Stegostoma tigrinum: one gene and its partners. The protein of the gene in region 2 interacts with the protein of the main gene of each other region in a pairwise test. Links are inferred from orthologs where the notes say so. Each region holds a gene or a part of one and is shown on either strand. Other genes may lie near its edges.

Region 1 (7,256 bases), on a different chromosome or scaffold from region 2:
GACATCTCCACATCATGGCTTTGGACTATGAGAAGAAATGAGAGCATCCTGAGGAAACCCATGCAGACACTGGGAATACATGCAACCCCACACATACAGTTACCCAAGGCTGGAATCAAACCCAGTGCTAACCATCAAGCACCATGCCAACAATTTTCCACATTTTTGAACAACTGAAGATGATTAGATCCAGAACACTGTCCTTAGAAATGCCTGCAACGTTGTCCTGGGTTAAGATGACTGATCTCAAACACCATGTCCAGTTTCTTTTGTGCATTTTATGACTCTAACCAGTGGTGGGATTCCTTTGTAATTTCTCTTGACTACAGCTTTGTTATGATGCCTTCAGGCTACATTTGGTCAAATACTGGCTCGGTATCAAGAGCACTCACCCTCACCTCATCTGTTCTTTTTGGACCAAGCAAGACTTCATTAGGTCAGGAGTTTAGTCACCCTGGCAGAAACTAAACTGGGCAGTGAACAGGTTAACATTGTGTAGGTGCCACTTGATAGCACTGTCAAGACCCCTTTCAACACTTTGCTGATGTTGATGAGGGTAAACTGATTGGGCAGTAATTGGGTTGGTTGGATTTGTCTTGCTTTTTACGGTCAGGACATACCTAGATAATTTTCCACATAATACTGATATTTCCCCAAATTGAATATTGGAATAGCTTGGATAGGAATGCAGCTAGTTCTGAAGCTTAAGACCCACAGCCTTTACCATAGCCAGTGTCCCACTCAGTAGCCCATGGTAGTGTGGAGGGGAATTTTGTCATGGACCAATGTATCTGTGACAGGTAGATTGGTGAAGATGAGGTAAAGTAGGCTTTTCCCTTTTGTTGGTTCCATTGCCATCTGCTGCAGACCCCGTCTAGTAGCTACGTCCTTTAGGACTGCATCAGCTCAGTCTGTGGTACAACTGAGCTACTGGTGGAGATGATGATCGAAGCTTCTTGAAATTGGTGCTCAGCAGAAAGGAATACTGATTCATCAGATGAGATTGAGGAAGGGAGCAATAATGGGTTAAGCGCAGGATGTTTCCTTGCCTAAGTTTGCCATAAGGACTTCATGGGATGTGGATCAATATTGAGAACTCCCAGGACAACTCCTTTCTAACTGTATACCACAGTGCTACCAACACTGGGAATAGTGATGGCGGTGTCTGGATATTGTCAGATATGGTTTGATGAATGATGGTTTGAATCACAGATTAGGGTAGCTGAGTGAGAATCATAGAAACCTACACAGCAGAAAGACGCCATTCAGCCCATTGAATCTGCGCCTACCGTTCAAAGAGTATTCCACTCTGTCTCAAGCCCCTACCCAATCCCCGTAAACCAGAATTTACCATGGCTAATCCATCTAACCTAGATGGCCCTGCTCACCACACACAATTTAGTATGACCAATCCACCTAATCTACACATTTTTTGGATCACTAGTAAACTAGTGAAAGTTTTATTGTCTGTGCTAGGATTACTTTTAATTATATATTTTGTTAAGGAGCAGGTGGGAGGAAGAGCTGATGGTCTGGTGGTATTATCACTGGGCTGTTAATCCACAGACCCAGATAGTATTCAAATCCCACAAAACAGCAGATGGTGGAATTGGAATTCCATCATTAAAAACTCTGGGAATTATTGAGTCTAGCGATGACCATGAATTCATTGTCAATTGTCAGGACAAGTCCATCTGGTTCACTAATGCTCTTTAGGGAAGGAAACTGCCCTCCTTTCCTAGTCTGGCCTACATGTGACTCTGACCCACAGCATTGTGGTTGACTCTCAACTGGTCTAGGGAGTTAGGGATGAGCAATGAATACTGCCTGGCCAGTGGTGCCCTGGTCCCGTGAATGAATACAGGGGAAAAAGATTGACTTTAAATTTCACTAGTTGCTGTGGTGGGATTTGAAACCGTAATTCCAGAGATTAGTTTGGCCTCTGGATTTCTAGTCCAGGCCATGATCACTATGCCACATCTTTCCTAATCTTGAGCTTTGTTTATTGAATCCCCTTGTATTTAATTAACCATTTATTTATATTTTCATCTACCTAGTTTTGATTAGATTGATTGGGGAAAGAGTTGAGACCGTGAAGAGAGAGAGTGAGTCTGGGGGTGAGGGTAACCAACACAGAGGGGCAACGGTAGAAAGGAGGTGGGGGAACATTAACAGAAATGGGACGCCGAGGGCAAAAAAGAGAGAATGGAATGGGAAAGAAAGGGATAGAGAAGGGGACGTGGTGATTAAGATTGCTGATTAAAGTAAAATTGAAGTCTAGCAATTTAGGCCAATACGTGAAAACCTAGTACCCATGAGGTATTGGGAACATGGAGCACGGCAGTGACAGGCACAAGACAGAACGGAAAGCCGAACAGTCGCCGTCATTCTAGTCTGACCCACTTTGGTCACTGGCGACTCGGCTGTGATCGGAGCATTGACTCCACTGAGGGGCCGTACCTCAGGAACTTTCACCACGGATGCAAAACTTCTAACCTGCTTTGATTCTAACCCCATTCCCAGACTGTTTCTCTGTCTGTCTGTCTTTCTGAACAGTCCCAGCAGAGTTAAACTGGAGAGGAGGGGACAAGGTCGGCGCGGAGCCTGCTGTATTCGTCACGATCCCGAAGGCGCTCTCTCCTGCCAGGCTGAGCGATGAATCACTCGCTATTTACGAAGTCGTACTCACGCAATTCTCACCGCCTCTTACCTTCTTCCTCTCGCTCTCCCCCGCGCGCCTTCCTCGTCTCCACTTTTCTTTTATCGTCACTTATTTTAAAAAAATAAAATACCAGAATCACGGGGGTTCCCAGCGCCCTAGAGCTTTGGGGAAATTGGATTTCAAGTCAAAGTAACCGCTCTATTAAGTTTTTAAAAAGACGCCGAGGAGCCGTGATACTTTCCTTGCTACAAAAAGTATCCACTTTGAAAAGATAATGAACCTGACACTTTGTAACTCACCCGCTGCGTCCAGTCAGCGCGTTCCGCTACATTGTAACCTCTCACTGTGTCAGTTTCACTCGCCTCGGACAGCGTCAGCTGCTCCCGACCGTGGACCCGGATCTAGTTGCTGGGCAACACGACGGGGGCGGTATTACAGGAGAAGCCCAGGGGGCGGGCAACTAACGGGCGAGAATGCATGCGCACGAAACTGTCGCCGTTCCGGTGCCTTTTGGGAGTTGTAGTTCTGATAGTGTCAGAGGCCTTGAGGACCATCCCCATGGGGGTGATTCTTTTCTCTCCAGTTAGGTCTCACCAGACTCTCTTTTAGAAGTGCAAGTCTTGAATGGCTCCATGGGAATGCCAACACGTTAGAAAAGGTTTTTCCTGACGGCAACAGCTTTCTAAGGCTGACTTAGACTCCTGGCAGATAAAGTAGAATCATCTGGACTTAAAAACGTTAACTAGCTTTCTCACCATGGATGCTGCCTGAGCCACTGTGATCTTTAAGTTTTATTTTCAGTTGAGACCACAGCCAGCCAAGCCATGATTTTATCAAATATAAGAGCAAGTTTGGAGGACTGAATGGCCTAGTCCCACTCCTATACTCACTCATCCAAATTACCCTTAAGGATTTTTGACATCCTTCTGGTGCTGTCCAAAACGTTCTTCCAGCGTGAGCCGAGATGGTGCAAGCACAGAGTAAGTTAACCATCTCAGCCCACCTGATAGCTACATAAATCCATCTTTCTGGCGAGTAAAATAAACAGCTCCCAGTTATCAAGAAGAAGGAGTTTTGCCAACTTTTCCTCCTGTATCTCAAGGAAATTGAGATTATTGAATTTAATGAAAAAGGGGGAAAATGTCCCTTTTAACATGTAGGATGTAGGCATTCTTCGCAAGACCACATTTGTGGACCTAGAGATAGTAAGAACTGCTGATGGTCCTAGTTGGTTTTCAGAAGGTGGAAATGGAACTTTCTTATCATAGTTTCTAAGATAATGGTGTTCTAACTATAGTAATAGGAGGGGAATGGTAAAATAAACCCAGTACCTCAAAAGAAACAGTGACATATGAACAAGTCAGGTTGGGTTTCTTTGATTTATTTGGTTTCTCCTTTCATGGGATGTGGGTGTCCCTGGCAAGGTATTGCAAATCACCCTCGAATTGAGTGAGATGCAAGGCCATTTTAAAGAGCAATTAAGAGTTATCCACATTGCCACAGGCCTGGAGTCACATAGGCCAAATTATGCAAAGAACAACATTTCAGAGAGTTGTCCAGCATAGAAACAGACCCTTCGAGTCAACTTGGCCATGCTGACCAGATATCCTAAATTAATCTAGTCCCATTTGGCCCATCTCTCTAAACCCTTCCTGTTCATGCACCCATCCAGATGCCTTTATTGAAACCAGACTTCAACTCCAGATTTTGCAAGTTTTTGCATCAGAAAACAGTTGAGGCAGGGTCACTGAATATTTTTAAGTCAATGGTGGATAGATTCTTGCGAAGCAGGGGTAATCAAGGGTTATTAGGTGTAGATGGGGATGAGGAATTTGAAACACAAATAGTTAAAAGTCATGCTCTTATTAAATGACATGGCAGACTTGAGAGGCCAAACAGTCTAGTTCTGCTCTAATTTTGTATATTCAGGTTTAATTAGCTGAATTTAAATTCCACCAGAAGTACTGAACTTGGAATTATTGTTTGTGAGGAACAGGTTATGGTTAGGCTTATTTTCCAAAACTCTCCAGCTCCGGGATTTCCCTCAGGGCATGTCTGGACCTGTTGGAGATTGGTTGATAAAGACCGATTGCTCTGATTAGTCAGCATATCAGTCATTGATATGTCAAATGATTACATGGATGATAGTAGGTGAACTCGATAAACCTTGGTCTTTTATATTACTTTATATATGCTGGTTTTTCACAACCAGTGGGGTTTCTTTAGCCTCTCAAAAGGTTAAATTCAATTTATGGAGCTAGGGAAACCAAAACATTTCTTCCAAGGGGAGTAACAATCTCTTGCTCAAACTTCAGCACAAGATCGGTGAAAACATCTTATTTCCCCAAAGTTAAGGCAGCTGATTGGAAATTCCATTTCATATTGCTAACATATGTTTGAATTAATAGCATTGCTATATTAACATTGACTTGTATAAAGATGCAGAATCTCTGCTTTGAAATATGCCATCTGTCACAAATAAAGATGCTTTGGCAAAAAAGCTTACACAAACTTCTCTAGCAAGGCCCCAAATACTCACTCACCACATCAAGTGGTTAATATACAAGTTACAAGTCCATGGCTTCTGCAGACATTAAATAAGTGTAAGTCAACGCAGAGTTAAACATTTAATATGCAGTCCCAGACAGCTTTGGAAACTCTCACTGACTTGATATTTGAGGAATTAAACTTCCAGTGAGCCTATTGATTTTCTGGATAGTGGTTGAATTTAAGATTGTTAACATTTTTAATTGGTACCATGGGGATTATTTTCTTTGTGTTAAGCCAGTGATGCCCACTACACATTCATCTAACTCAACCTTCAAAAAAGGTGATTTTTTAAAAAATATCCATACACAACTGATAGTCCAATAGATGGACATGACAGCATCCACTCTCACACCAGGTGGTTTTAAAAATTCATTCACAGGTTGTGGGCATCACTGACTAAGCCAGCATTTATTGCCCATCCAAGAGTCAACCACATTGCTGTGGGTCAGACCAAGTAAGGTTGTCAGTTTCCTAACTTAATGAACCAGATGGGTCTTTCCCAACAATTAATGGTGATTTCACAGTCATCATTAGACTCTTTTTACAGATTTCAAATTCCACCATCTGTTACAGCAGGATTCAAAACATTACCTGTGTCTCTGGATTAACATTCCAGAGATAATACCACTAAACCATCACCTCCCCTTGTTAAATCTCATCCATCACTTCAGTGCATGACTGCAGCTGTGCTTCACTACCCAAACAGCTGATGATTCACATCCAAAGACTGTCTCAAGGGAACAGCTTTTGGCCTGGTAGGATTTTAAAACCTGACTTTGTTTTTTCTGTGTATTGTGGTCTTACAAGACAGGGCACTTTAAAACAAAATGCACTCATACTACACCTTCAATATACAATAATAACACAACCAAAGTTACTTCATTGGAGCTATATCTGACAAAAAAAAAAGACACCATGCCTCAAGCTATTAGGAAAAGTACCAAATGTCAAATGTTGACAGGGGTTTATAGAAGGAATTTTAAAATTTAGATTCTAGGCAACAGAAGACACAGTCACCAATGGTGGAGCAATGAAAAACAGATGTTCATAAGGCCAGAAATCTGAGTGATGGTAGAGATTATAGAGACAGGAAGGAATGAGCCCAGTGAGATTTGAAACAATGGATAAGAATTTTATAACAGTATTGTCAGACCAAGAGCCATGGCAGATCAAAAAGTCAAAAAGAATATGGAACATTGTCAAACTAGTTGAACTAATCCCAAAGTGGCACAGATCCCCAATAAAGGTTTTGCCAGACAAAACCACTAGACCTCAGGCTACTATACATTTTGTGGGCATGAATGGTGCACAGTTAAAGAAATTGACATATCCAGTGGACTCTCTCTACTGCAATAACACAATTATAGAGAGTCAGAAGTAACCGTCTGGCCAATTGTTCAACACGCTCTTATCCATAAGACATCGCAACTCACAATCCTCCCCTATCCCCAATAAAGTCAATTCTTTCCACAAGGCAAAAGGAGATGATTCTCTGAAAAGAGGTAATAGGAACTGCAGATGCTGGAGAATCCAAGATAACAAAGTGTAGAGCTCGATGAACACAGTTTCTGTGCTCCTAAGATGCTGTTTGGCCTGCTATGTTCATCCAGCTCTACACTTTGTTATCTCGGATTCTCTGAAAATCTTGCAGAATTCCCCTCCACCTCAGACCTCCTTAATGTCCTGGCCAATATGTATTGGTTGACCAACTATCATTTCATAAAAGTGATTTTTTCTCCATTTCCATAACAGGTGTTTTTGAGGCCTTTCTGTGAAAATTTGCTGCTGGATTTTCTACATTTCAGAAAAGTTTATATATTTAGGCAAATCTGAAGACTGTGAAAGCTTTATATAAATGCAAGCCTTTTTGTTTTATCCAGGGAATTCAAGGTTGAAGTATGGTGATTGTTGCATAAAAAAGACAGAGAAGGTTTTAGGTAGGAAAATTAAACTCCAGATTCAAAATTTGTCTGTTTAAAAATTTTATTTTAAGAAAATGTAAATACCTGCATTTTCATTGGACAGTAATTGCATAGAAATTGAG
Region 2 (7,408 bases):
TAGTGAAGAAGATTATCTAAGTTTATTAAGAGATCTTGATCAGTTGGGTCAATGGGCTGAAGACAGCCAGATGAATTTTAATTTGGATATATGTGGGCTATTATATTTTGGTAAAACAAACAAAGACTTACACAACTCAAAGTAGGACTCACAGAGTCATACAGCAGGGAAACAGACCCTTTAGTCCAAACAGGCCATGACAAACATAATCCCACACTCAGCTAGTCGCACTTGGCTGTTCCTGGCCCATATCCCTCCAAACCTTTCCTATTCATGTACTTATCCAAAGGGTTGTAGAACAAAGAGACCAAGGGGTACAGGTACATTATTCTTTGAAGTTTGCATCACATATAGGTAAGATGGTTAAGAAGGCGTTTGGCATGCTTGCCTTCATTGCTCAGACCGTTGAGTATAGGAATGGGGATGTTATGTTGAGATTGTACAGGACATTGGTGAAACCTCTTCTGGAGTATTGTGTCCAGTTCTGGTCTTCCGGTTACAGAAGAATATTACTAAGCTAGAGAGGATTTCAGGAGAGATTTACCAGTTGCTGGGACTAGAGGAATTGAGTTATAAAGAGACACTGGCTAGTCTGGAACTTTTTTCATTGGAGCATAGGAGGTTGAGGAGACAAGTTCGGGATTTATGAAATCATTGAGGGGGTATAGATAAGTTGAATGAATGGCAGGTCCCTTTTCCCTAACATTGGGGATTTCAAGACTAGGGTCATATTTTTAAAATGAGAGGGGAAAGATTTTAAAAAGACATGAGGTGCAATTTTTATTTTACACAGAGTGGCTCGTGTGTGCGGAATGAACTTCCGGAGGAAGTGATGGATGCAGGTACAGCTAGAACATTTAGAAGGCATTTAGATTAGTACATGAATACGAAATATTTGGAGGGATATGGGCCAGCGCAGGCAGGTGGGAGTAGTTTAGTTTGGGAGTATGGTTGGCATGGACTGGTTGGACCAAAGGGCCTGTTTCTGTACTGTATAACTGTATGACTCTATAACTGTATGACAGGCTCAAAAGTATGAATAGAATACTTATGCTCCTATATTTAATGTTCATCAGTGGTAGAACAGTGCAATGTTGGAGTGCCATCACAACATTGTTTCAACCCATTTACTGGACTTCAAAACATTGTTTCAATTAATTTTGTTTTAGTTAAGAAGCCAGTGTGCTGTACTTATGAAAGAAAAATGGTCTATAACACTTGTTAATTATCCCAAATACTGAAGTAACTGCTACTTAAAAACATAAGAAACTGGAGAAGGAATTGCTATTTAGCCCCTTAAGCCTGCACCAAACAGTTGGTCACTGTAGGCTTTTTGAATGATGCGTTAACTGGTTAGTACACAGGTCTCCCCACTTCTACCAACTGCAGATGACACCCAATCAAGACATTGTAAGTGCTCTGATTTACTATTTTTATTACTACAAATAAGGCCTGTTTGAAATGTGCAGCATTAAGAGACTAGTTGTACCTTTGTGAGAGAGGGGAATCCCCACTTCATGAGCTTTTCACAGGTTGGAAATGCTTTGGTAAAAATTCTGCTCCATTATCAAAAATAGATTGATAAAAGATCTGGGTCATGGTGATTCTGATTATTTCAAGCATTTATAAACTTTCTTATGTCATTTGTGAAACTGACATTTATCAGATATAAATTGTCTATAAAAAACGAAGGTTGTTGGTTATCGAAGCGATGTGAGAAATAATATTTCTGACAGCACAAAAAGAAACTAAGAACTGTAGGTGCTCGAAATTGGAAACACAAACAGAAATTGCTGAAAAATCTCACCAGTTCTGGCATCTGCCAGCATGCTGCCAGACCTGCACGTTTTTTGTTTCAGCAATTGCGGTTTGTATTTCTGATATCACACTGTGGTGAGAGTGAACTAAGTGATTACCAGCTTTGTACCTTTTTTGATTCATTGGTGCAATCTGATTCCATTCATTTTTGCAAGGATTGTAGCAATGTGCAGCCGAGATCTCCTGACTAGTCATTCTGTATCCACCAATGATGAAAAGGTAATTATTCAGCACTGTGGAACCATAGCCTCTCACATTCACCATGTCATGAGGGAGGCTGTTTGCCAAGGGTAGCCATCTCTGTCCAACCTCATCATATCTCAGCATTGACCAAGCCTCATCAGGAGACTGATCCAAGGAGGTGCTAAAGAAATCCCCTACTGCCACCAAGACAGCTGTGCCTTTAAGGCGCATCTCCCTGACTTGTTGATGCAAAGTCTTGGGTAGATGGCTAAATTCCTGCCTCCTCAGCATTGGGTGGTAATGACACACCATGAACTTGAGGCAGGCCTTTCTCAGATCAGCGATTCCGTAAATTTCAGAAAGTTTATATAACTCCACACAGTTATCCACCTTAATCTCAGAGAGGAGCAGCTTCAAGATGGAAGACACCTGGAGAAACGACGCTGTTTCCACTAAATCTTCCAAGGTCTCGTTATCAAAATGTACTTTGGAAGTGTTGATGAATTCAATGACGAGCTCCAGTCCATGCGCACTCAAGCCTTGCAGCTGCACCGAATCTTCTTCAGATTCCTTCATCCCGGAGTTATACAGGGCTTTAAAATAATCGCTTTTCTCAATTAACTTACTCTTATTGACATTGTACGTCTTATCGTCTATTATGATAGCTATGATTTCTTCGGAGGACATCGTATCAGCAGATGAGGACTGAATGAATACAGTCTGTTTTCTTTCAGCGGGCAGGTTCAGCTTTTATTTATATTTATTCGGATCTGCACGCGGGCCTACATCAGACAAAACACCCGTTTCAGTAGATTTATTAACATTGCCGTGTCCAGTGTAATATAACAGCAGGACCTTGTTGCACACAGTGCAAGCAATCACTAAATGCTTACTCGGTTTCTATGCATATTCGGTTGAAGTTTCACAGCCTGCTCGCTTGTTTCTTTAATCTCGTTTCCTTGTCATTTTTGTATCGTCACTTCTTGTTCCGTTTACAACGGCCAATCTCGGACTGCAAAAGGCAACAACCAGCACATTCTGCTCCTCTCGCATCTTACCTTTGAAAGGCACTCAGCTCGCTCTGACTGCGCATGAAATATTGCGCGGAGTTACATGTATCATTTGTGACAGTCTGGCAACGGTGTATTTAAAAACAAAAACAGTAGTATATTATTGTTCTGATTGTTTTTACAGATGTGGTACCGCGTCCTTTTTTATGATGCAATGGGATTTTAAACAGAGTCGACCAACTGATAAAATAAAAACCCAGCTGTTTCAAAGATAAATAAATTGTTATATGGACTTTATTTGAATTAAAAAAAACACTCAGTATGTACCTATAGACAACAGAAATCCTGAAGATCGTATTATAACTTTGCAGTGTTAGAAATGGAACTGTTCGCCTTGTCAAGATCACACGTTGAGCACTGCTTTGGGTACTGGCCACCGTGTACAAAGACAGCATTCCACAGTTTCGACAGTACAAAGCCAAGGCATTAGTTTAAGAGAACAGAGTCAGGAATGACTTTTTCCATTATGTAAATCACAATACTTTGTAATAAAGGAAGTAAGTGAGCGTTGACTTTAGGTACAAGAGCGAGTATAGAACCTGTGTTATATCTAGCCTTTCACCTCTCAAGGCTTCTCATAAATAATGGTAACATTTGAAATATAACCACGGTAATGAGGCAATTTAAACAGCGCAAGGTCCCTCAAATAACTGTTATTTGCTGCTGACGGTTGAGGGATAACATTTCGCTACAGAATCTTCTGCATCTACTTAATAGCAAGCAAACGGACCCTCGTTGAATGTTGTATCAGAGATAAAGGCCCGAAATGTCAGCTTTTGCGCTCTTCTGATGCTGCTTGGCCCGCTGTGTTCATCCAGCTTCACACTGTGTTATCTCCGCACTTTGTTACCTCGTTTAATGTCTCGTCTGAAATATGACACCTCAGCAATTTTACTGCTACACCTAATGTCAGCTGGAAAGACATACTCAAGTCGTGGAGTTGATAAAAAGAATATTTATACAGATATACAGAGAACAGAAGTTTGCATAAAGCAGCAGGGATACAGAAACAAAATATTGCAGGTATTGGAATTCTTAAATAAAACAGAAATTGCAGGAAATACTCAACAGGTCAGGCGAATATGTGGAGAGAGAAAAAGAGTCAATCTTTCAGTTCAATGAACGTTTACCTCCGTACATTAAATGGAGCAACTTAAATTTGCCAGGTAAGCAACATAAATTCATCATTATAATTAGAGGACAAGGTGGCATGTCAGGTCTTAAATTATCCCCTTTCTGAGTTTATTACTGTTATTTTATTGTTTGATCTTGAGACTATCTAGTTATCTGAACATCAGAAAATATAACCTAAAATCCCAAGATTAACTTCCTTTAATTCCTTTGACAAATAGCTTCCCAAGTTTAAAACTGAAGCTATCACTTTGAGAAAATTATGGTGAAAATAATCCATGACATTATTCATTTCTGAAAATTAAGTTGTAGTGAGATGATCAAGTATGAAGAGAGGCTGGATCAGTGAGAATTATATTCACTGGCATTTAGAAGAATGAGGGGGATCTGGTAGAAGTCTATAACATTCTAATATGACTAGACATAATAAACGCAAGAAGGATGTTCTGGAGAACCACAGGTCACAGTCTAAGGAAACTGTGTGGGCTATTTAGGACTGAAATGAGGAGAATTTCTTCATCCAGAAAGTGGTGAACCTATGGAATTCTCTGCCACAGGAAGCTGTTAAGGTCAAAACATTGAGTGCTTCCAAGAAGGAGACAACTAATTGCATCAACGGTTATGACGAGAAAACAGGAACAAGGTACTGAGTTAGATGATCAGCCATGATCATATTGAATGTTGGAGCAGTCTCAGCAGGCTGAATGGCATACTCCTGCTCCTATTGTCTTTGTATCTTGTGTTTCTATTAGAGACATACTGCATGATCATTGCATGATCTTTTGGAAACTTCAGCTGTTATAACAGAATACAACTATGGCTTTTGAAAACAGAGGCATTGTTTCACCAATTTAATCAGGGCTTTTTTTGAAGAGCTCAGAATTGGATGACAATGCTGTTGTGGATCACAAGCTCAGAAGGAAGCTTTCTGGCCCATTGTCATCTGTGTTAACTACTTGAAGAGTTATGAAGTTAGTCATACGTGCCCTTTTCCCCGTGTCCTGGATTGTTTTCAAAAATATACAAACAATTCCCTTTGTAATGCGATATAAATCTGCTGCTACCATTCTTTCTGGCAATGTGTCTGGAGTACGGTAAGGTCAGATCTAGTAAGGATAGCAGGTTTTATGACAACCAGCAATGGTTACATCATTGCCTTGAGGTTAGCTTTTCACTTTTTTTATTCAATTCAGATTTCACCACTTGCCTTGGTGGGAATAGAACTTAGATCCCCAGAGCATTGCCTGAGATTCTACATTGCAAGACCAGTAACTTTACGACTAAGCCACTGTCAGTGCTCAGTGACGCTGAATTTTGGTTCTGCCAAGGCCACTCAGCTCCTGACCTCATTGCAGCCTTGGTTCAAACATGGACAAAAGAGCTGAATTCCAGAGGAGAGGTGAGAGTGACAGCCCTTGATATCAAGGCTGCATTCAACCAAGTGTAGCATCAAGGAGCCTGAGCAAAACTGGGTATCTGGGTTGGAGTCATACCTGACACATAGGAGGATGATCGTAGTAGTTGGAGGTCAATCATCTCAGCTCCAGGACAAGTCTGCAGGAGTTCTTCAGGGTAGTGTCCTAGGCCTAACCATCTTCAGCTGCTTCATCAATGACCTTCCTTCCTATCATAAGGTCAGAAGTGAGGATGTTTACTGATGACTGAACAATGTTCAGCACCAGAGATAATGGGAACTGCAGATGCTGGAGAATTCCAAGATAATAAAATGTGAGGCTGGATGAACACAGCAGGCCAAGCAGCATCTCAGGAGCACAAAAGCTGACGTTTTGGGCCTAGACCCTTCATCAGAGAGCTGATGAAGGGTCTAGGCCCGAAACATCAGCTTTTGTGCTCCTGACATGCTGCTTGGCCTGCTGTGTTCATCCAGCCTCACATTTTATTACAATGTTCAGCACCATTTGTGACTGCTCAGATAATGAACAGTCCATGTTCAAATGCAATAAGATCATTCAATTGTGTTTCAATTGACATTCAATTGTGTTACCATCACCGAATCCCCTGCTATCAACATCCTGGGGGTTATCATTGAGCAGAAACTCAACTGGACTCACCACAGAAATACAGCTACAAGAGCAAGCCAAAAGCTAGGAATACTGCGACGAGTAATTCGCCTCCTGACTCTTCAAAGCCTGTCCATCATCTACAAGGCACAAATCAGGAGTATGATGGAACACTTCCCACTTGCCAACAACACTCAAGAAGCTGGACTCCATCCAAGACAACGCAGCCCGTTTTATGGGCACTACATCTGCAAGCATCCACTTCCTCCACCACCGACGCTCAGTAGTAGCAGTGTGTATTATCTAAAAGATGCACTATAGAAACTCACCAAAGATCCTGAGACAGCACCTTCCAAAATCATGACCACTTCCATCTGGAAGGACAAGGGCATCAGACATATGGGGGCACCACCACCAGCAAGTTCCCCTCCAAGCCACTCATCATCCTGATTTGGAAATATATTGCTATTCCTTCACTGTCATTGATTCAAAATCCTGGAATTCCCTCCCTAGCAGCACTGTGGGTCAGCTCACAGCAGGAGGACTGCAGCAGTTCAACAAGGCAGCTCACCATCATCTTCTCATGGGCAAGTAGGGATGGGCAAGAAATGCTGGCCAGCCAGTGACATACACAGCCCACAAATGAACACAAAAAAAATTGTCTTCCCAGACTATATCAAATTACACAGTCATATGGTCACATTACATAGTCATACTACATGACTTAGTACCCTTGACTTGCTTGATTATATCTGTCTGTTGAATCTGAAGCATTCAATCTGTGAGCATTTTGAAGGGGTTAATTCTATACTGTGATATAACTCCATTTAAATATGTAATCCAATGACATTACTGCTATTCCACATCATGCTAATAAAATCATGATAATGCGAAATGGAGTTAATTAAAAAAAACACTGGCAATTAAAGCAGCTGGAGAAAATCTAAATGGCATTTGTACAAACTAAGAAAACATAGGTTAGATCTCAAGAAGTGCTTCACTTTATGGAGACAAGTGGCATGGTGGCACTGCCAAGAGGGGCCCAGGTTTGATTCCAGCCTCATGTGACAGTCTGTGTTGGGTTTGCACATTGTCCCTGTGTCTGTGTGGGTCCCGCCCCCCACCTGGTTCTTTGATTTCATCCCACACTCCAAAGATGTGCAAGTTAGGTGGATAGGCCATACT
Region 3 (7,657 bases), on a different chromosome or scaffold from region 2:
GGAGAAAGTGCAGCATCAATTTACCAGAATGACACCAAGATGCCATGGGTTAGAAAGGGAAGACACAAATGCAGGATGTGTTTCTTGAAGTCCAAGGGGTGATTTTTCCGTCTGATGTAGGTGCTGGTAGCTGTGCTGGAATTTGTTTCTCATCCCTAGTGCCCTTGGAATCATTGGCTGTCTAGTACATTTCAGAGGTCAGTTACGAATCAATCACATTGCTGTGGGTCTGGAGTCACATGTAGGCCAGGCTAGATAAGGATGTCAGATTTGCCATGATGGGATTTGAACCCACATCCCCAGAATAATAGCCTGGGGCTCTAGATTACTGATCCCCTGATATTGCCTGTACCCCAGCACCTTCCCACAGAGTTTTCAAGATATTTAGGGGGTAGATCTGATAAATAGAGAAACTATTTTCACTGACTGGAGAGTTTATTACCTAGTGATATCATCTAACAATTAGAGCCAGGCCTTTCAGGGGTTTTATTTATTCAGGGAATGTAGGCATTGCTCACAAGTCTAGCATTTAGTGCCAATCCCTAGTTGCCCCTTGAGAAGGTGATGGTGAGCTGCCTGCTTGAACTGCTGCAGTTCAGTGAAATGAGGAAGAAATTCTGCAGACAAGGGGACATAGTTCTGAGGAACGGCCTCCAGACCCAAAATTCTGATGTTTTCTTCGTAGATGCTGCCAGACCTGCTGAGCATTTCCAGCAACTTCTGTTTTTGCTCCTGACATAGGTTTGGAGTTCTCTTCTGTAAATGGAAACTGAATTCTGTGTTTCTAATGTACATTTTAGTGGTTAAATTGTTGCTTAACTCTTAGTGAGAAACTTGTGCTTTCACACCTCAATCCATTGATCTTACTGTATAATCTGAACTAACAGTGCTGAGGGAGTGTGCACTTTCGGAAGGGCCACAATTTGGATAAGATGTTAAACAGAATCTCCTCTGTCAGGTGGACGTGAAGAAAATCCCATGGTACTATTTCAAGAAGACAAAGTGTTTTTCCCAGTGTCCCGATGGAGATTTATCTCACAATGAAATGCAAGGCACACCACTCTGTTATGACCATATTGTCAGACCTGGTTGTGTAAATCGGTAGCTGCATTTCTTATGACAGAGCACCTGACAACAAACAGTCCCCTGCTTGATGTAAAAGTGCCTTGAGATGTTTGTGGTTATGAAAAGATAACATATCAATTACTTATCTTCATGGTATGGATTAATGAAAAGGTTTTACAATAAAGTAAGAGGAATAAGCCGGCTTTATGGCACTGTAGTTGGGGAGATGGTGGGGAAGCTCTTTAAATACGAGTTACATGCTGAAATGAGCTGACTGATTTTCCTGGATGGATGAACAAAGATTACCTTTTAAATGCCTGTTATGTTTTTGAAATAAACAAGAAATTGAAATTTAAATAAAATTGGATTGTGACCCTGTGTATAATTTCCAATGCCAATATTATCACGTGCATCAGAGAGATATTTTTTAAAATGTGGTATTTATTTGAGAAGGTGCTGGATACTGAATGCTGATCATCCACAGTTCCTTCTGCCCATCGCCCTGTGCTGTTCGGTTTCCCCGCTTAATTCTGCGCGTGCGCATTCACTGGACTCCCAGCTCGGAACTACATTTCCCAGGGCCCTGCGGGTCTGCGCCTGCGCGCTGGTGGGGCTCAGCCTGGGCTCGGCGGCGGGGACTGGCAACTACCAGAGCCCGAGGCTCCAGGGCCGGAGGCCACTGACAGGCCGCAGGTGGGCTATTGACCAAAACCTGACCGGAAACGGTGTTCAAGTGACACGAGGGAGAGAGATGAAGCACGGTGAAACTTCTGAGGGCGAATCATACCTGCTGGTTCCTTCATTGTCCAACAGGGTCCTGCTGGATCCATCTGTCCAACAGGGACCTGCTGGATCCCTCACTGTCCAACAGGGTCCTGCTGGATCCATCTGTCCAACAGGGACCTGCTGGATCCCTCACTGTCCAACAGGGACCTGCTGGATCCATCATTGCCCAGTAGGGACCTGCTGAATCCCTCTGTCCAACAGGGACCTGCTGGATCCCTCACTGTCCAACAGGGACCTGCTGGATCCCTCACTGTCCAAAAGGGACCTGCTGGATCTCTCACTGTCCAACAGGGACCTGCTGGATCCATCTGTCCAACTAGGACCTGCTGGATCCCTCACTGTCCAAAAGGGACCTGCTGGATCTCTCACTGTCCAACAGGGACCTGCTGAATCCATCTGTCCAACAGGGACCTGCTGGATCTCTCACTGTCCAACAGGGACCTGCTGGATCCATCTGTCCAACTGGGACCTGCTGGATCCCTCACTGTCCAAAAGGGACCTGCTGAATCCCTCTGTCCAACAGGGACCTGCTGGATCCCTCTGTCCAACAGGGACCTGCTGGATCCATCTGTCCAACTGGGACCTGCTGAATCCCTCTGTCCAACAGGGACCTGCTGGATCCCTCACTGTCCAACAGGGTCCTGCTGGATCCATCTGTCCAACAGGGACTTGCTGGATCCCTCACTGTCCAACAGGGACCTGCTGGATCTCTCACTGTCCAACAGGGACCTGCTGGATCCATCTGTCCAACAGGGACCTGCTGGATCTCTCACTGTCCAACAGGGACCTGCTGGATCCCTCACTGTCCAAAAGGGACCTGCTGAATCCCTCTGTCCAACAGGGACCTGCTGGATCCATCTGTACAACTGGGACCTGCTGGATCCCTCTGTCCAACAGGGACCTGCAGTATCCCTCATTGTCCAGTAGGGACCTGCTGAATCCCTCTGTCCAACAGGGACCTGCTGGATCCCTCACTGTCCAACAGGGACCTGCTGAATCCCTCTGTCCAACTGGGACCTGCTGGATCCCTCACTGTCCAACAGGGACCTGCTGGATCCATCTGTCCAACTGGGACCTGCTGGATCCCTCACTGTCCAACAGGGACCTGCTGGATCCCTCTGTCCATCTGGGACCTGCTCGATCCCTCACTATCCAACAGGGACCTGCTGAATCCCTCTGTCCAACTGGGACCTGCTCGATCCCTCACTGTCCAACAGGGACCTGCTGAATCCCTCTGTCCAACTGGGACCTGCTGGATCCCTTTGTCCAACTGGGACCTGCTGGATCCCTCTGTCTAACTGGGACCTGCTGGATAATAGTAAGCATGTCACACATGGGATAATAAAGTTTTTATTTCAGTGACTCCTTTGATCAAACTTTCCCATCATCTCTTTTTGGTGGCTCAGTGTCAATTTTTATCTGATTGGATTCCTATGAGATGACTTTGGGCAATTTATTATTTTAAAGGCACTGTAACAATGTAAGTTGTTGTTATCACATGGTGCTATTCTTTCAGCTCTATCTTTTTCTTCTTTCTATTCTTAAAATATTCAAATGTTGCCAGATTGTGACGGCAGTTGAAGCTTTTCACTGTGTTTTACTGTGTTGTTCATTGTAGAGTACAAGTCACAATATTCTGGCATGTTTCCCTTTGATCTGAACCATCTTCAACAATCTTCTCTTCCCTACAAAATGCACAAGCTGCTGACACAAAAACGTTCTGTCATCTAAACCACGACTTTTCCTACTCTGCTACTCTTTTCAGCCTTCTAGTTCTTTCTAATCAAAAACCTTTCTCATCCTACACAGACTGAAGACTGAGTGTAGCCCTTGGGCAAAGCAGGATCTGAAGCTAGAGAAATGGTGATTCAGTCCCCATTATTTTCTCACATCATTGGTCGAGATGGACCTTGGTAGAGATAGAATTATGTGGACCTTGGTCTTTTTTTCACCTCAGATTGTCAGAACTAACTCAGAATAAGCTAGTTAACATTGCCCTCTCTATAATTTGTACCGAAGACTAATGTTGTGTTATTCATACATAAAAAGTCTGTAGTAATTTGGAGAAGTAGTTTTGACTTGGAAGGTAATTACTTAAAAACATATACTACAATGCTACTACTGGCAGGGGAGTGCAATTACAGTATGGCAGGGTGGTCTAATAGAGCTTTATAAAACCATGAGGAGCATAGAATAGCCAAGGTCTTTTTTCCCAGGGTAGGGGAGTCCAAAAATAGAGGGCATAGGTTTAAGGTGAGAGAGAAAAGATTTAAAAGGGACCTGAGGGGTAACGAATTTCACACAGAGGGTGGTGCATGTATGGAATGAGCTGCCACAGGAAAGGGTGGGGTACAGTACAATTACGATGTTTAAAATACCTTTGGACAGGTACATGAATAGGAAAGATTCAGCAGGATATGGGCCAAATACAGGCAAATTAGTTAAGTTTGGGAAACCTGATCAGCATGAACAAATTGCACTAAAGGGTCTGTATCCATGCTGTATCACTGTATATGGATCTTCCATTGTAAAAGTGGGCATAGGAATTTATAATGGAAAGAGCTGGTAGAAAGTGAACACAGAAGAAATATTTTAGCACAGATATATAAAGAGAAATCAGACTCTTCATGTACATTGAAAGTAGCAAAGGTGCATTCCAGATTACCTGCACCAGATTGCACACTCCTTGTGATGGCTGTATCACTGTATTGTGAGGCATTCAAACTTGGTTTCTTTCATAGGATCTTTGGATTGCTTGACCAGAGTGGGTGTCTTCCACAGTGATGCTGGCCAGGCTTCAACACAGGTGAGTGTACAGATCACTTTCCTCCTATGTCTCAAGGTTTTTGTGAAAGATTAAGCAAAGACCACATTGGTAGTGGGGCAAAACCAGTCTTTACAATCTCTCTGATAATAAAGTGTGAAGCTGGATGAACACAGCAGGCCAAGCAGCATCTCAGGAGCAGATGCTGCTTGGCCTGCTGTGTTCATCCAGCTTCACACTTTATTATCTTAGATTCTCCAGCATCTGCAGTTCCCATTATCTCTTTTACAATCTCTCTTATGGTCACTTATGAGATTCAGTACAATGTTGCCTGTTTGTTTAATTTATTGGGAGAGTCTGAGTGTTGTTGGTAAGACATGCTTATTGGACATCCCCAGTTGCCCTTGAGAAGGTGGTGATGAGCCCTGTTCTTGAATACAACTGAGTCAACCACTTTGCTGTGGATTGGGGGCCATATGTAGACTAGTTAAGGGAAGGTTAGAAGATTCTCTTCCCAAAAGACCATAAGTAAGCCAGAGGGATGTGTACAACCACCGAAGAGTCGCCATTATTGAGTTTTATTATTCCAGATTTACTTAGTTAATTTCCTAGCTACCGCATTGGGATTTAAACTCTTGTCTCTGGATCATTCATTCAGGAGTCTGTCTGGATTCTTATTCCAGTAGCATTACCTCTGCTATCCCTGAGGTACCTGAGATTGTTTTAAATGTGCTGATAAATGTGGGCTCTTGTAACAGCCAGTAGATACAATTTGCTCACAAGGCTGACAAAATGTGTAAAAGAAGACACCTATTATGTGTGCTGTTGTGTGTGTCTTACATGTTACACTCTTCCAGTGTACAATATTGGTCTTACTATCCTGGTTAGGCCTTGACATGTTTACTTTGGGCTAATTGCCTTTGGAGTGTAAAATCTCTCTTCTTTAAAATCTCTGCTTTTTCCCCTTTGCATCTTCATTCTTTTGATTGTTCTTACCATTTCATTGCTTTCACTGAAAGCCCAAAGCTGTGCAGCATTATGTAAGAGTCAATACATTGTGGAACTGGAGGAAAACAGCAGATCAGGCAGCATCAAAGAAGCAGGAAAATCAATGTTTCAGGCCTGGAGCGTCAACTTTCCTGCTCTTCTGACGCTGCCTGAACTGCTGTGTTCCTCCAGCTCCACACTGCGCTGATTCTAATTCCAACATCTGCAGTTCTTGCTATCTCCTGGCAATGTATAAGAGACAGTTCTTCCTAGTGTTCAAGACTGCACCAATGGTGGTGGGGGTGGAGGCATCTTGTTTAGGTTCTTAAAGTTTTCAAGGGATATGGGAAATTTGAACGCAATCACTTCTGCAGATTATGACCCTTCAGATTATTTAATGACATTTAAAAATAAAACAATTCAAATATCTTTAGTTCTGTGGAAGTGGTGATAGAATTTTGGAAGCATGTAGCAGCAAATTAGGTACAGCAAACAACAGGAGGTTTTCAATAAGGGCTGAAGGAGCTCCCATTAGGAGGGAGTAATAGGAACTGCAGATGCTGGAGAATCCGAGATAACAAAATGTAGAGCTGGATGAACACAGCAGGCCAGGCAGCATCTTAGGAGCAGGAAAGCTGACATTTTGGGCCTGATGAATGGTCTAGGCCTGAAACGTCAGCTTTTGTGCTCCTGAGATGCTGTTTGACCTGCTGTGTTCATCCAGCCCCACACTTTGTTATCTCTCATTAGGAGGGGGAATGGCTATACAGCCACAAGAATCACAGTGAGAATCTCACAGCAAGTTTTATTATAGGGAGACAAGATGTGTAAACGGATTCCAGTCCAAAGCAAAAGTTTTGCTATTTTATAATATCTCCCTATTCTCCCAAAGGTACTCATTCATTCCAAGTGAAATGTAGAAGAGCTGTTGTGGAGAGATGCACTATCCATGTAGTGTCAGACTGGTTTGAATTGTGTTCTGTCTCTAATCGTGATTGTACCTTTCACACAATGTATCAGATGGGAAGCATTTCAGAATGTCCCATTCTGTGATTGTATATATTTGTAAGTCCTCACTATATACTGTGGGTATGTGGGAGAGAGTGCACACCGCGTTCCCGGTACTGTATGTGCTCCATGTGGAAATCACATTGTTATTGTATAATCCACAAAATTGATTGATGTGAGCTGAAACTCACTTATTGTGTCGTATCCAAGTGAAAGATTACCTTCACTTTACACTGACAGACTGGGGTTTGGAAAAATATTAAATTCAGCGACTGGAGTTATGCAGAGTTCATGGAAAGGATTTGGCAAATTATTAAATATGAAACAGCTCAAATCCTTTCTAATTTCAGGAACAGAGCCTAATAAAAGCAGCGTGATCCTGCCTCAGGCCAATATTTATCATTGGAACTTATCCCTCAATCAACATCATTTGAACAGATAAATGCAGAAAGCATTCAGTAGGTCTGGCAGCATCTGCATTTCAGCAGGCAGTCCATCATGTCCTTACTACCGCAGTCCCAGGAAGCAGAGCCCGAGCACTTTGATGGCCTGTCCCTGTTATACTGGTACGGATCTGTGTGTCTGTCTGTCTGTCTATCTGGGACCGTTTCTGTATCTGTGTGCACTGTGGGTCTGTGAGATCTCCCACTGTCAGTGTACTTAACTGTACTCTTCATATGAACACACAGGCAGGGGCAGGCCATTCGGCCCCTTGAACCCGTTCGACAATTCAATGATAACGTGGCTCATCTCCATTCTCCTGTTTTCCCTGATACCCTTAATTTTCTTTGTGAGTCAGTACACCTGCTTTCCACAGCCTTATAAAACACTCGGTGGCGTGGTCGCCGCTGCTGTCTGGGGAAGAGAATTCCACTATCTGATGGAAAATATTCCCCTCATCTCCTCCCGAAACCGGATACCCGTTACTTCGAAGCTTGTCTGTCCCAGGAGGGGAAATATATTTTTCAGTATCCTTCCTGTCCGGTGACCTCAGGGCCTTATGTCCCTGTAACATCTTGCCGATCTTCTGTTGGGTCACGTACACTA
Region 4 (7,604 bases), on a different chromosome or scaffold from region 2:
GTACTCAGAACAAAACACAAGAACATCATATTTTAAACCTTTCATCAACACATCTTTCTTTTCAGTGATATTCAGGTCATTTACGTAATGACAAATGTTCCATTAGCCTTTTTGGACATTATTAACTGTAACACATCTTCAACCACATCATACCCACTATATTATTCTGCTGCCACAGCTTCCCTAGACCTCAAATTGTGGAGCTGAATGAACACAGCAGGCCAAGCAGCTCCTCTTTTGTGCTCCCGAGATGCTGCTTGGCCTGCTGTGTTCATCCAGCTCCACACTTTGTTATCTTGGATTCTCCAGCATCTGCAGTTCCCATTATCACTTCCCTAGGCCTCAATGTTTAAGACTGCAGATCAATTGCTATGAACTTCAAGTCAAAGAGACCAATTACTCTTGCTGTGAGAGGCAGCAGATTGGCAGGTGCTTGTTAGGTTTCCATTCCAGATCAGAAAGGGATATTCAGTACTTTTCATTTGTCTTTCAGCTTTGTTTCTCCAACACTGCACAGCAACTGAGGTAGAAGGCACAGATATTAGGACAAGAGTATTCTCTTGGCACTTTCCCTAAATACACTGATTTGAGGACACAATGTATGAGGTCAGCAAGACTGGAGTAAATGCAGAGGGTAATCAAGTCTGAATTTCAGGTCTGCTTAATACGAAAATAAAATTCATTCTGAAGCTTCCAACTCACTTTGAAGTGTCTTTAATCAGAGGCAGGAAAAAACTAATCAAACATTAACAGAAATACAACTACCAAAAAATGCATTTTAGCAGATTAGGAAAACATGTCAAAGATGAAAGAAGACTCCCCTAAACATTCAGGCAGTTGTCTGGATTCTTGATAAGTGAGGAGTGGAAAGGTTATCAGGGACCACTGGTAATGTGAACTACAAGTTACAATCAGATCAGACATGTCTTGTTAAATGGGAAGGGGAGCAGGCTCAAGGGGCTGAATAGCTTAATCCTGCTCTTAAATTACAAACTTCTACACAGGTATGCAAGTTCATCCACAAACAGCAACTGATATGACATTCAGTTATGGATTTTTAAATTCAGATTGCAAATACCATTGCTTGACAAAAATCCAAGGGATATAGAGTAAATTTAGATATGTGGAGCTCAGGTCACTGATCAACCATAATCTCAATTAATGGTGAAACAGTCCCAAGTGCAAAACAGCTCTTTTTGTTCCTACATTGCCTCCATCCTCCCAAAATTGGTGTCCAATTCAATATTTAACCTCAAGAAACATCTAGAAGATTTTATCCATGCAACTGCTTGTTGAAACTTACTGCATGTGAATTGACTGCTGTAGTTTCCTACAGTCATTACATGTCAAAAATCAGGAGAGATTCCAATACCCTATAAAAGCCTTTATGCTTTCTAAGTAAAGAGTGTTCATATCCTTCAAAAGCCTTTTTAGTTTGTTTGACAAACAGCCTGTTTTTACTGCACGAGGCAGCTCTTTTACCCATTGTGTCCACACCAGTCAAACCATCCCATTTTCCAGCACTCATCCCTTAGCTTTGTGTGCTTATGGCATTTCGTGTGTTTATCTAACTAGCTCTCAAATGCTTTGAGGGTTCCCACCTCCACTAACAGTAGGCAGTGAGTTCTTGACCCTCTACAACCTTTTGGAGAAAAATATTCTCAAATCACCTCTAAACCTCCAGGTCCTTACCCTAAAATTGTGCCCCTGGTTACTAGCCAAGGGGCAAGTATATTCCTATTTACACTACCTTTGCCCCTCAGAACTACGTACACCTCAAAATCAGGTTCCACACTCCACACCACCCTCCCCTCCATCCTGCAAGCCACACTCCCTTCACCAAAGAAAATAGCCCAACCCTATCCATGTTACCCTCATAGCTGGATTAGTACAACCCTGGCCACATTGCATGAGAGGGGCTGTGGAAGAAATTCACAATCACATTCTAACCTATATTGCAGTGACCAGAATTGCACAGCATTGTTACTGATGAGGCCTAACAAACATTACATAGATCATAGAATCCTTACAGTGCAGAAATATACCGTTCAGCTCAACAGGTCTACACCAACCCTCAGACCCATCCCCCTATAACTCACCCGAGTTACACATTCCTTGAGCACTATTGACAATTTAGCATGGCCAATCCACCTCACCTGCACATCTTTGGACAGTGGAAGGAAACCTGTGCAAACTCCACACAGGCGCCCAAGGGTGGAATTGAACTTGGGTTCTGGGTGCTGTGAGGCAGCAGTGCTGACCACTGAGCCACCCCAAGAAAGCTCATTTGGGAATTAAACCTTGCATGTCACCATTGTGCAGTACCTTAAGTGAGACTCATACCCATAGACCAATGAGCCTCACCTTGATATCCCATATGCCTTTAAAGCACTTTATCTACCTCAGTCTACTGCCTTCAAGAATTTAGGCATGCATACCAAGGATGTTCAATGAGTGCTCTTTTGCCTTGTTGCTTTCCAAAAAGCACTCCTCACACTGATGTGTAATCAGCATATAATTACAGGTTACTGCACTGCATACAAAAGCTTCAACTGAGAGTGCTATAAATATCAAGACATCTTTTAATAACCTTGAACATTACCATCCCTATCTCCCTCGAGGAACATAAAATACCATTTCTGGCATATACAGCAGGGGAGCTCTCAGACAGCTGAATGGGGAAAAAAGTCATTTGTTTGTTTCAATCCAAGGACAGGGAGTCAACTTGCTCGCTGATATCTGCCAACTGAGAAGAGACATTTGCTCCCAATCTCTAGAAAAATACACACCACACCCCTAGTTTGCTTTCACCATTCCCCACAAAGCTTGCCGACTTAGGTCAGCAGGAAACTCAGTCTGTACCAAAGATCTGAAGAGTACAGTAGTGACAGAACGAGATCAGTTGTGTTTTGTAATATGGGAGCGGAAAAGCAGAACAAAGTCCACTGTCGCATCACAATGGTTTCCGGCAGCAATTTACACATGGGGGTGGGGGTCCTTATTCACTAATGCACGTGGCTTAGGTGGAAGGGAAGAAAATACATTTCTTCCTCCATTGCGATATACGAGCCGACCCATGTTTCATTTCAAAAGGAACTTCTTTAAATAATAATCTTTGCCCTCTCAGTACCACTGTAGTCCCTCACTGAGGAACCATCCATAAATAGGAAGTGATCCTGCAAGAGAAGGGAACACGGTGGGGGGGGGGGGGGTTAAATAGACTGCTGCTTTCGATTTGCAAACTGCTTTCAGTAAGCGAGCTTACTGCATTATTATAATGTTAATTAACGCAACACTGAAGAATAGCAGTGGATTTCAGACGCTTATGGAAAGAAATGGTAATTTGCCAACAGTGCCTGACCCGGATAGCTAATTGGGATCGGTACGGAACACAGCTTTAAAAATGTAAGCTCTCACCCGGCCGTCATTACCACGTTGTAGATGACCATGTAAGCAGTGGCGAGGGGTCCCGGACCCCTTCTTTTCTTCTGCGGCCCTTCATGAACCCCACGTTGATGTTCAAGCCCACTCCCGACCGACGCCATGGTGATCAGTCCGTCACTGAACTGCCGCGCGTGCGCAGTATTTACCACCACCTGGCCCCACCCCCTTCTGAAGGATTGGCTGGCTGCCGATCCCGCCTCCCGCACGTCTCCCTCGGTACTGCCCCCAAGATTGGCTGACCCTGAAATGCCACTCATGCATTCCCTGATAACAAAGTGTGAAGCTGGATGAACACGGCAGGCCAAGCAGCATCTCAGGAGCACAAAAGCTGACGTTTCGAGCCTCTCTGATGAAGGGTCTAGGCCCGAAACTTCAGCTTTTGTGCTCCTGAGATGCTGCTTGGCCTGCTGTGTTCATCCAGCTTCACACTTTGTTATCTCACGTTAACTCTATTTGCTCCTCCACAGCTGATGCCAGACCTGCTGAGCTTTTCCAGCAACTTTGTTTTTTGGTCCTCCCCGATACTGCCCTCTGCCAGAACGACCTTCCATTGCCGTTCCTGCGTTCCACCCCCTCCACGCTGCCCCCTGGTTTGGCTGACCTTAAATTGCCCCTCGTACATTCTTCCCTCGATGCTGCCCTCTGGACTGGCGGACAGCGAATTTTTTTTGCTGATGAAGGGTCTTGGCCCGAAACGTCATCCTTCCCGCTCCTATGATGCTGCATGGCCTGCTGTGTTCATCCAGCTCCACACTTTGTTATCTCTACACCTTATTATCTCGGATTCCCCAGCATCTGCAGTTCCTATTATCTCTGAGCGAATTTCCCCTCCTGTATCCTTCCCTGCAATGTCCCGACATCGGTACATGATGCTGGCTACCCACTGAATTACCATACCTCCTTCGGTGCTGCTCCCACGAAACCGGCAAATTGAGAATTCTGTCTCACGGTCATCCTCCTATGCTGCCCCCTGGACGGGCAGACAGCGAATTGCGCCACCCGAACATGTCAATTTACTGCCCCCTAGTTTGGCTGACCCCCCCCCCCACTACAGGAGGGCCGAGTGACGACCGCCTCCAATGGAAGAAAGTGGGGCGGGGTCAAAGAGGCGTCACCTGACCAGCGTGAAGTTATTATTTATTTTATAATTTCTTCACATCCCCCGATCACAAACTCCCTTCACCTCCTCCTGCGACGCCATTTCATCTCCCGGAGAAGGGGTGGAGTGAAAAACTGAGAATATTTATCCTACTTTCAGTTGTGAAAGAAACTGAGACCGTAAGGGGCAGATTTGGTCGGAGGCCTCGGCTGTTAGGATGTTCCAGGGGCTGGCGAAGGAGCGACTGTTACGGGCTTCGAGCTGAAGAGACGCCGAGGCCTGACGGCGGCCTATCTCCAGAAGGCTATTTCTCACTTAAAAAAAGTTTTCCTACTGTAATCCCAGCTATGCCTTTCTTCGCCACCAACCCCTTCGACCAGGATGTCGGTAAGTTATGCCTGTCAGGGTTGAGGGATTTTAAAACCGGCCCCGGGCTTTTAAAAACACACACTTTTAATTATATAAATGACACAACGCTTCTAAATGAGCTGATTATATCAGCTTGTTGAGTACCAAGGGTCTCCGGGAGAAAGGAAATGTTGCTCAGGGAATGATACAGCATTCAAGGCGGCCGTTCGGTCCCTCCTCCCGTGAGGCCCCCCGATTTTAGACCACCCACCCCCGCCAACAATCCTGCAACACCGTCCTCTTGGAACCCCAGGATTTGTCGGTTTGTTTTTGAGAATTACTGTTGAATTTGCACCCTTTCAGCCACTTGTTGCGTCAGAAAATGTTCCCTAATTTTCAAGTTCACAAGGATAAAACCTGATCTCTTTACCGTTCTGATAACTGATCCTTCTGTCACTCAAAGCTGCGTCTCATTTGCTCCACTGAAATCTTTTGAGCGGCTCGATCAGTTCTCATCTTAGCCTGTCAAATAAAAAAAGAGTTGTTAGAAAAAGTGATAGAGGTTTGGAACTCTCGTTCACAAATATTAATTTATGCTAAATCAGTTGTTAAAATTTATCTATGTCAGATGTCAGATTTGTTAAGCAAGGATATTAAGTGATTTTGGGCCTAAGATGAGTACGTGAAGGTAGGCTACAAATCAATTATAACCTCATTGAATGATGGAACAAGCTTGAGGGGCTGAATGGTCTACTCCTGTTCCTGTGTTTCAAACGCTAGAGATGGAATGAAAGCAGAATGTGCTGGAAAAACTCTGCAAGTATTTAGTTTTCATCTTAAATGCCTCTGCTCTTGGCACAAGATGAGTATACAGCATTGGATATGAAGTAGGAGGAGTCCATTCAGCCCTATAAGCTTGCTTTGCTATACAATAAGATGGTGGCTGTTCTGATCTTAGTCTGAGCTCTATGTTCCTGTCTGACACTTCTGCCATTACCCCTCCCAAAAACCCACAAATGCCCTGTGGTTCAAAAATCTATCTTGGTCTCAACTGTGTTCTGTGATAGCATCTACACTGTATTGGGTAGAAAATTACCAAGATAAGTAACCCTCTCAGAGGAGATATTAGTGACAGATGGAGTTTAACCCTAAAAAGTGTGAGGTGATACATTTTGGAAGGACAAACTTGAAAGCAGAATACAGGGTTACAGAAGCGTGGAGGAGCAGAGGGATCTTAGAGTTCATGTTCACAGTTCCCTGAAAGCTGCCACCCAGGTGGATAGAGTTGTTAAGAACGCATATGGTGTGTTAGCTTTCATTTAACAGGGACTGAGTTCAAGTGCCGTGAAGTTATGCTCCAGCTATACAAAAGCCTGGTTCGGCCACATCTGGCGTATTGTGTCCAGTTCTGTCATCTCATTACAGGAAAGATGTGGAGGCGTTGGAAAAGGTGCAGAGGAGATTTACCAGGATATTGCCTGGAATGGAGGGAAGGTCTTATGAGGAAAGGTTGACAGCGTTAGGGCTTTTCTCTTTAGAACAACAAAGGATGAGCGGTGACTTGATTGAGATGTACAAAATGATCAGAGGTATAGATAGAGTGGACAGCCAGAGACTTTTTCCTAGGGTGGAGGTAGCTATTACGAGGGGCATAGTTTTAAAGTGAGTTGAGGTAGATATAGGAGAGACGTAAGTTCTTTACTCAGAGTGGTTAGGGTGTGGAATGCATTGCTGGAGTGGGTAGTGGAGTCGGCCTCATTAGGGGCATTTAAGTGACTGTTAGAGAGGCATATGGATGATAGTATAAGGTAAGGGTGGAGGTTAGATAGAATTTAGCATTAGGGTAAAAGTTTGGCACCACAGAGTGGGCCGAAGGGCCTGTATGTTCTATGTTCCCTCAGTATTTTAAGTGGTCCCTTTGTTTGATACAGTGCAACCAAATTCTAGATTTACTCCATGAGGAGAAACCAGGCCAGCTTCTAGAACTAGGAATGGAACTTGACAGCATATTGTTTTAGATGGCCTGCATTTGCAAGCTCCCATTAATTGTATTTTCTTTTTTCCTTTATCTTGGATTTTGATGTCTTAAGCTTAAAAGAAACTATGCCAGTAGTTAAGCCACACATGCATCCCATCTGTAAATGTCGATTTCTTTGGATCTTGGGTCCTTTTAAAGAACAAAGAATGATACAGCACAGGAATAAGTCCTTCGGCCATCCAAGCCTGCACTGCCAAATTTGCCCCTCCATTGCTGAAACTGTCTTCACTTGCAGAGTCTGTATCTCTCTATTCCTTTCCTATTCATGTATTCGTCCAGACACTACTTGAAAGCTGCTATTATTTCTGCTTCCATCACCATCTCTAGCAATGCGTTCCAGGCACTCGCCACTCTGTGTGAAAAGCTTGCCTAGCACACCCCTTTTAACCCCCCACCTGCCTTGAACCTTGAACCTTGAACCTGTTCTTTTGCCTCCCTCAATATTCTGGCTTAGATCCCTTCAGGACCCAGGGACTTATGTACTTCAATATTTTTTAAGATGCCAAACACCTTGTTAATAGCAACCTGGCTTAGAAACTCGACAGAACCTTCCCAGGGATCATCCTCCGCCAATTCCTATTGTTTGGTGAATACTGACACACAGTATTCATTTAGGACCTCACTCACCTCTTCTCGCCTCACACGTAGATTGTCTCCTTTGCCCTTGAGTAGGCC

The links.
Region 1: the proteins of klhl42 (region 2) and SERTA domain-containing protein 1-like interact in binary tests that used the Homo sapiens proteins (3 or more experiments, as listed by UniProt). The two-hybrid records come from large-scale screens. The link is inferred for Stegostoma tigrinum from reciprocal best matches to the Homo sapiens genes KLHL42 and SERTAD1.
Region 3: the proteins of klhl42 (region 2) and stxbp4 interact in a two-hybrid assay, tested with the Homo sapiens proteins (2 studies listed by BioGRID and IntAct). The two-hybrid records come from large-scale screens. The link is inferred for Stegostoma tigrinum from reciprocal best matches to the Homo sapiens genes KLHL42 and STXBP4.
Region 4: the proteins of klhl42 (region 2) and stam2 interact in binary tests that used the Homo sapiens proteins (3 or more experiments, as listed by UniProt). The two-hybrid records come from large-scale screens. The link is inferred for Stegostoma tigrinum from reciprocal best matches to the Homo sapiens genes KLHL42 and STAM2.

Annotation. Positions count from the first base shown.
Region 1 is NC_081392.1:8,005,042-8,012,297, forward strand, and holds the start of SERTA domain-containing protein 1-like, read right to left. Parts: upstream 3,059-7,256; 5' UTR 2,962-3,058; intron 1-2,961. UniProt on the Homo sapiens protein: Acts at E2F-responsive promoters as coregulator to integrate signals provided by PHD- and/or bromodomain-containing transcription factors. Stimulates E2F1/TFDP1 transcriptional activity.
Region 2 is NC_081371.1:29,035,844-29,043,251, reverse strand, and holds the start of klhl42 (kelch-like protein 42), read right to left. Parts: upstream 3,067-7,408; 5' UTR 2,689-3,066; coding exon 1,928-2,688; intron 1-1,927. UniProt on the Homo sapiens protein: Substrate-specific adapter of a BCR (BTB-CUL3-RBX1) E3 ubiquitin-protein ligase complex required for mitotic progression and cytokinesis. The BCR(KLHL42) E3 ubiquitin ligase complex mediates the ubiquitination and subsequent degradation of KATNA1.
Region 3 is NC_081375.1:4,662,699-4,670,355, reverse strand, and holds the start of stxbp4 (syntaxin-binding protein 4), read left to right. Parts: upstream 1-4,615; 5' UTR 4,616-4,634; coding exon of another isoform or gene 4,635-4,657; intron 4,658-6,960; 5' UTR 6,961-7,108; coding exon 7,109-7,176; intron 7,177-7,657. UniProt on the Homo sapiens protein: Plays a role in the translocation of transport vesicles from the cytoplasm to the plasma membrane. Inhibits the translocation of SLC2A4 from intracellular vesicles to the plasma membrane by STX4A binding and preventing the interaction between STX4A and VAMP2.
Region 4 is NC_081360.1:97,870,270-97,877,873, forward strand, and holds the start of stam2 (signal transducing adapter molecule 2), read left to right. Parts: upstream 1-4,537; 5' UTR 4,538-4,890; coding exon 4,891-4,930; intron 4,931-7,604. Other genes in the region: hacd2 (very-long-chain (3R)-3-hydroxyacyl-CoA dehydratase 2), read right to left, coding at 3,418-3,545.